Linked DNA regions of Tribolium castaneum. The protein of the gene in region 1 interacts with the protein of each later gene in a pairwise test. Links are inferred from orthologs where the notes say so. Each region holds a gene or a part of one and is shown on either strand. Other genes may lie near its edges.

Evidence for each region. The genes of interacting proteins can lie anywhere in the genome.
Region 2: the proteins of Wdfy2 (region 1) and Jwa interact in a two-hybrid assay, tested with the Caenorhabditis elegans proteins (2 studies listed by BioGRID). The link is inferred for Tribolium castaneum from reciprocal best matches to the Caenorhabditis elegans genes wdfy-2 and praf-3.

The regions. Positions count from the first base shown.
Region 1 is NC_087398.1:812,766-816,769, reverse strand, and holds Wdfy2 (WD repeat and FYVE domain-containing protein 2), read right to left. Parts: upstream 2,576-4,004; 5' UTR 2,486-2,575; coding exon 2,328-2,485; intron 2,280-2,327; coding exon 1,932-2,279; intron 1,882-1,931; coding exon 1,635-1,881; intron 1,463-1,634; coding exon 1,131-1,462; intron 1,085-1,130; coding exon 949-1,084; 3' UTR 795-948; downstream 1-794. Other genes in the region: Taf6 (transcription initiation factor TFIID subunit 6), read right to left, coding at 1-161, 205-447; Exo84 (exocyst complex component 8), read left to right, coding at 2,813-2,876, 2,928-3,083, 3,132-3,331, 3,385-3,681, 3,729-3,855, 3,902-4,004. UniProt on the Caenorhabditis elegans protein: Plays a role in coelomocyte endocytosis.
Region 2 is NC_087403.1:1,986,101-1,989,058, reverse strand, and holds Jwa (PRA1 family protein 3), read left to right. Parts: upstream 1-1,388; 5' UTR 1,389-1,493; coding exon 1,494-1,681; intron 1,682-1,728; coding exon 1,729-1,946; intron 1,947-1,991; coding exon 1,992-2,128; 3' UTR 2,129-2,333; downstream 2,334-2,958. Other genes in the region: uncharacterized protein LOC135267207, read left to right, coding at 2,670-2,958.

The sequences.
Region 1 (4,004 bases):
CAATGGGACCTCAAAGACACCTCAAGTGGTGCTTTGGCGTTCAAATTTTGCAACAAATCGTTCAAAACCACCTCCTTCTCCTCAATAAAATGAAGCTCACGTCCGCCGCCTGATGCAAAACGGAACGGGAGGCCTTCGGCCGATTGGAAACCGTACTGGGGCTGTAAGACACAATGAGGTTAAATAACCAAAAAGCCCACATACCTCCAAGTTTTTGGCTTTGAGGGCTGCGTCAATGTCGCTCTGCATCAGTTTTGTTCGTTTGGCATGGTGGACGAACTTCGCAGCGTCTTGAATGATGTGTTTCAGTTTAAATGAGATGTCTTCAGCTAGTTCCTTTGCAGCGTCGTCGGGCAAATTTCCAATTCCGATGCTTTCGGCTATTACCTTCATAGATTCGACGGATAAATTCGTTCCGTATAAGTCATTTTCAGCGTTTTTGGACATTTTTCAAGGCAAAAAGGGGGCCAAAAATTGGCATATGCGCTTGTTTTGTTTACCAGTGGTGCCAACTCGAGTGGCACGCACGACGAAAACACCAACACATGCCGCATAACAACAACATTAAAGAACCAAAGTATTAAAGGATCATGAAGAAGAGTGCACTTAATTGATTTAATCGTGTGGGGGAGAAAAAATCACAACGAACAATTGTTTGTTCGAAAAAAACTGACAACAATCGGACCGAAAGCAGGTTCCTGTAAATTTGACGTCACCACAGATTACCATCCGTTCATGGAATCATGTCACTTGTTCGCACACTTGGGTTCAAAAATAGCACAAATGAGGCGCAATTCTGTGATTATAATAGATTTATTTTCAATAGAACTTATAGAATATAAATATAACATTAATAATATTTAAATTTTACATAATGTAATAAATCATAGCACATTAATTAATTGAGTGTGAATCACATTCCAGCGTTAGTAACTAAACCAGTCGGATTCAAAGCAAAGCGGAAATGTCCCAAATTTTGATTAGCCGGTCCTGTCCGACTGTTACCAATTTTTTGCGAGTCTCGTCCAATCCCATCGCTGTAATACTATGCTTAGCATCATGGAATGTGGCTAAAGACACCCTCCTGTAAAAAACTTTAGCAAGACATAACTTCACCACTTGCAACTCACTCTCTATCCCTTAACAAGTGGTGACAAGGGTCACAGACACGCACTGCGAACTCGAAACCCATCGCTGGAATTGTTAATCTACCTGTGGAACATTTCTCGCAAACTGCTTTCCCGCAATGTCTGCAGTGGTGTTGCCGTAAACCCAACTGTCGCTGGTCCATCATGGCTCGGAAGTTCCAAAAGAACGGTCTTCCACACAACTGACATAAATCGGACTCGATCCACTCGGGAGTCTCCTGACGCGTTTGGTTCATGTCCCAGAAGACCAGCACCCCGTCCTCGCCCGCGCTGACCAATTGTTTGGTCGAGTTAAGGTAGCACAAAGCAGAGACCTGTAATATCACATTCACTTGTTTCCACAATTTTGGTAATTTTTGGCACTGTTGCCAATTTAATTTCAAATGCCGATCGCCAACAAAAAACAAACCTTGACCTACGTAACCAATAAACAATTATCTTTGCTTCGGAAAAAATCCAACTGCGGTTGTAATAAACAATGTTTACCTTGTTGTGGTGACCTTGCAGCTCGTAGGCGTTGCCCTGTTGCCCCCCTATGTCCCAAACGATAACAGTTTGGTCGTAGGAGCCACTAAATAACATCTGCCGCTCGCTGTCCCAAGCCAGTGACCTAACAGAGCCCGAGTGCCCCTTCAAAGTTGTGATAACACTAGGGCCCGCATTATCCAATTTTAACATAGTTATTTGACCAGAATAATCCCCAACAAACGCATGTTTGGTTTGTGCATCAAATCTGCAAAAATTAAAGACATGACTCGAAAATTTTCCGCAAAAAATTAGTACTGTAGAGAGGTGCACCAGGCCTCAGCCGTGTAAGTCCCAATGTTGCGGCCGGTTTGTGTGCAATTGTACGAAAACACTTTATCCCTGCTCACGCTCAGAACCCATTCGCAGTTGATGGCAAAAATAATTTCGGTGACTCTTGCCTGATGTGCTAGGTACTCCCGCACTGGCATCATTCGGTTGAAGTCTGATGCCAGCGAGAATTCTGACACGGTCCCGTTTTCCTGTCCTATGAAAAGTTGCCGGGTTTCAACTGTGTAAAAGACCGAAGTGGCCCCACTGGGCATGTACTGGCAAATGCTGGGCCAGTACTGGCCTGAGTCTCGCTTCAACCAAACACGTACCGTTCTAAATCACAAAAATGAGGCGTAAAGACCGGGTTTGGGAGCGACTTACTTGTCATCTGACACACTTATAACCCCATCTTCGCCCGGGATCAAAACGGCGGCGTTTATTTCGTCGCTACAACCTTCCAGTTTTGCCAAAAGGGCGGGCTTTTTCGTTGTGCAGAATTTGTCGTTTGCTTGGGTTGCTGGCTTGATTTCCGCTGCCATTATTAATTAATTTGATTGTAATTATAACACTGTTTTTAGGTTTGACACTTTTGATTTGACAGTTTTACGACGCAGTTGCCGATAACAAGCGTCCCTAACCAACGATAATGTGCAAAGAACCGCAAATGACAATCACACAAACAAGTTACAAACGATAACCCACACGTACATGTCGACCACTTGCGTGGCTCACTCTAATGTTCGCTCACAACGCCAGATCTATTGACAAATTACTTGTCAAACCATTGAGGTTATAGGAAATGGCACCGCCTCCCTTTTTGTGTTAGAAAAAACTTTATTATCAAATAAATAATTATTTTTTACACCATGGAGCCCACAAAAGAACCGACTTTAAGTTTATTTAGCTCGAAGGAGTTTGATGCGGGAAAATGTAACATAATTAATAAGACGTAATCACTTGGTGATAATTAGGTTCTTTTAGATGTTAGGGAATTGTCTCAAAGTTGTGTGGGGGGCCCCGAATTGCGACGCCTCCGTAAAAGAATTCAGTCACTGTCTGAGGACACCAACAACAATTTGAAGCAAAATGTGTACCGCAATTACACCCAGTTTATTGACACTGCTAAAGAAATATCTCGTATTTTTTTAATTTTTACTTAGTTATAAGTCTGACTGTTTTTTGTAGACTTGGAGAGTGAAATGTATCAATTGTCACACCTTTTATCTGAACAAAAATCCTTATTAGGTGCCTTATCAACAACTTCGATTTTGGGCGAAGAAACTCCAGTTATCACAGAAATGGAAAATAGGGACAATCCCAAAGACCAAGGTGACGAAAACCGACAGAAATTAGCCTCAATTTTAGAAAAAGTTGAGGGTTGTAAGGTAAAGTGCCATTTTTTGGCGAATTTTTGTTACTATTGGTATGACTGGTTTAGGAATTGTTGGAAGTCCCTGGAAGGACTTATTTACACGAAGGGGATCTTTTAGAAGTTGACCCTCTCGATAATCACATCATCAAAACGGTCCATGCTTATTTATTTACAGACGGCTTTATGACTACTTGCAGAAATAATAATAGCCGGGGTTTAATGAAATATGTTTTTGAGGTAATGTACGAGTTAGGTAGTCTCGCGGTAGTAAATGTGCGGGAAATTGGTAACAACAAACACCAATTCAAACTATTGATTTTTCCCGACACTCGTGTTTTCCAATGCACTTCTGGCTCAAATAAGGTATTGCGAAAATTTAGTTTGCACAAGTTTACAAAAAAAAATCGTAGAAAGAGTGGTTGGATAAGTTCGACCAGGCCAAAAAAGCCCGTCTCACCCAAGACCAACAAAAACGCGAATCAATCGTGGAAAAATCGCCGTCTCGGTCCGCCTCAATCGATTCCCCTAGCCTCAACCGTAAGTCGGCACCACTGTCACTTTTCCCCTATTTACCCCACTATAGCTTTTGAGGAAATTGAGGACGAGGTCGGGACAGTACACCCGGACTGGTTTCTGGAAATCCCCGAAGAGTTAGACGTTTGCGTTGCCCAAAGACACTTTGAGGA
Region 2 (2,958 bases), on another chromosome or scaffold:
GGCGGCGGAGGTCGGGTGTTCACACCCGGATCACGGCAACAATTTTTCTATGAAAAAAAGTTTAGAAAAGGTAAGTGAAACAACACGTAAACAAAAATAAGAGATTGAGAGAACATATAGACGAATAAACGTAAAGCGGAGCATAAAACTGAGAGAAATAAGAAAGTAATGCGGCAAAAGGCGCAAATTGTAAACGTAAGAGCATATCCTAATAAAGGCAAAATACCTTCTGTTTTGAGAGAAAAAGAAATGAACGTAAAGGTGAAACATAACTTCAAACTTTAGCGTTGAATCCTTAGATGACTTACTTCTTAAATTATAAAAAAAATAAACGAAAATATTAAATTTATCTCTAAAAATTTTTAGTTAACTGAGTTTGTTTAGTGAAGTCCCAAAACACATTGTTAATAAAAATCATGGCCCCCTACTACTTGTCTTTGTCGCACACTTGGTTTAACTCTGTCGTCTCCTTTAGCCCTAATAATTATGTATTATTAATAAATTAATATCAATAGTAAAAGACAAAATTGTCAGAAGATTGTATATTTTGTATTACCAGAAAGTATAGTTTAATTATTAACCAAAGAAGGTTTTGGAAAATTTATAAACTATCCAACTAAATTTTATCTGTCAAGTAAATTAGCCAAGATTCTTAGGTAGTTTGTAAACAAGCCACCATTTTAGTTGAAACTGCGTTTCGTATTAAAATAATCAATGCTTTGGCTAGTTTACAAACTAAACAGCTAGTTTAAAAACTAGCCAAATTTACACATTAGCAGCAACATATATGCATGAAGATCAGTTAATTTCCGGGTAAATTGTCAATTTTTAAACAATTACGCTATTCTTATACCATTGTATAAGATACATCTTATTCAATGCTTATTTATATATATAGTACTTACGTCAGGCACTGACTCTTAACTCTTCCGAGTTAACTGATTTCAGTTCGTAGATTCGTTGAAGTATCACTACTTTAACTACACAAATTCAAAAAGCACTTATTTAGTTATACATAAAAACACTCACAACAAAACAAAAGCACATATTCTACAGACGAAACAGACTCTCATGTTCACTGTACAGTATTGCTAAAATTGCAAGACGGACCAAAGTCGCCTGACACCTGAGTAGACCAATCAGGGTGCTAGTATCACAGCGCGTAATTTAAAATTAATAATGTATTCACTTGCAAACACACATTGGAAATTAGCGTTAAATCTAAATTTACCAAATGTTTTAAGACAAAAAAAAAATATTTTGCATGTGTTCCAAGTATAACAATCCTAAAACCCCTTCACATTCGACAAAGTACGCATTGGCTCCGCCCACCGAAGTCCATCTTCAACTTCACAAACTCTAGCATTCCTAACAGCCCTCGTGAAATCCCGAAAGCACGAAAGTCGCAATTGCCCGATTTCTGGCACAGTGCAAATGTCAAGCCCATGATGCAAAACTCTAAATAAAACTATTACTCAATAAAATCAGTGAAAATGAATAAAGTGTCGGAATTCGAAATAGCCCCCTTGCGGTCTTTGGACGACTTTCTCCTCGAGTCAGCCCGGTTCCAAATCCCGAACGTCAACGACTTGGAAAAATGGGGTAAAAGAGTCTCCAGCAACTTGCTCTACTACCAAAGCAACTATTTCTTAATGTCACTTATAATCTTCGTCATTGTCGGGTAAGGCGCCCCCAGCCCTCGACCCCAGTTAACGAAACCCCTTCCAGCGTCATCCACCCCACGAAAATGGCCTGTGGGTTCGTGGTCACCGCGGTCATTTTCATGGTGTTTTCCTACATCACCAACGAACGCTTCGCTGCAGCTCAATTCAAAAAGAAACACCCGATTGTCTCACTGTTGCTCATTTTGGCGGGCTGCTACTTCGTCGCCTACATGCTGAAGTCCCTCCTGGTTTTTTTATTCGGGATTTTGCTCCCGATTTCAGGTAGAACAACTTGCCCCCAAATTGAAAATTAATCACTTGTTACAGCCACCTTCATTCACTCGTCTTTACGACTGAGGAACATTAAGAACAAAATCGTCAATCGCGTCGAAAATCTGGGGCTAAAGCGGACCCCCATGGGGATTTTTCTTGAGCAACTTGGGCTTGATCAAGAGGGGTTCTAACCGCGTCAAGTGGCTGAACAAACTTAAACATTTTATCGAAAAAATCCAAACGTTCGTTAAGCGTCTGTTCACGAAGAAAAATGCACCCAAAAAGTGATTCCCACATGCCCTACTCTATTTTTTCATTGCATGGCATTATTATTTCTATTAGTAGTTGTAGTGTTTTTATTTGCATAAGAATTTTAATATATTGTTATGTATTGTTTTAATGTGATATTCTTACCAATGTGTATACGCGCTATCAGTGTGACGTAGACATTTGAGGTAGGTCAGCACCTTAAAGCTAAACAATCGCCATTTTCAATGCTTTTCTTATGGGCATTTAAAAGTTTTTCGTATTTCTTTAATGCTAGAAGTGTAGGAACATTACTTTTACAGAGAAATGATAGCTATGAAAAATGCAATGTCGTTTCTTAAAGATTTTAGCAACTGAGCTAATATTTCTGTAAGTTGAACACATAAATCCTTTTCTAACCTAACTTTTTTCAAACTTCAAAATTCAGTTTTTCTTAATTTGGACATCATATTGATGTAAATTATTATGTGGCCTTTTAAAACTGAGGGAAAAATGGTTTGCCACACTAATGACATTGGATTTCTTCTGAATGACGAATTCATGGGGTGCAACCGGCGCAACCCCAATAAACGGGTTGTTTTCTGTCCCCCTCCCCCATCACGAGGGATGAATAGCAGGTATACGAGGGTAGAGGGTTCAGGCACATACATGGTTGAAAGTAGTACGGGTTGTGAGTTCTGTGCTTCTTTCGTGAGTGTCTTTTGTTATCGTGTTTTTTCCGATCGTTCTCCATATCTTCGTGTTCTTGAATTTT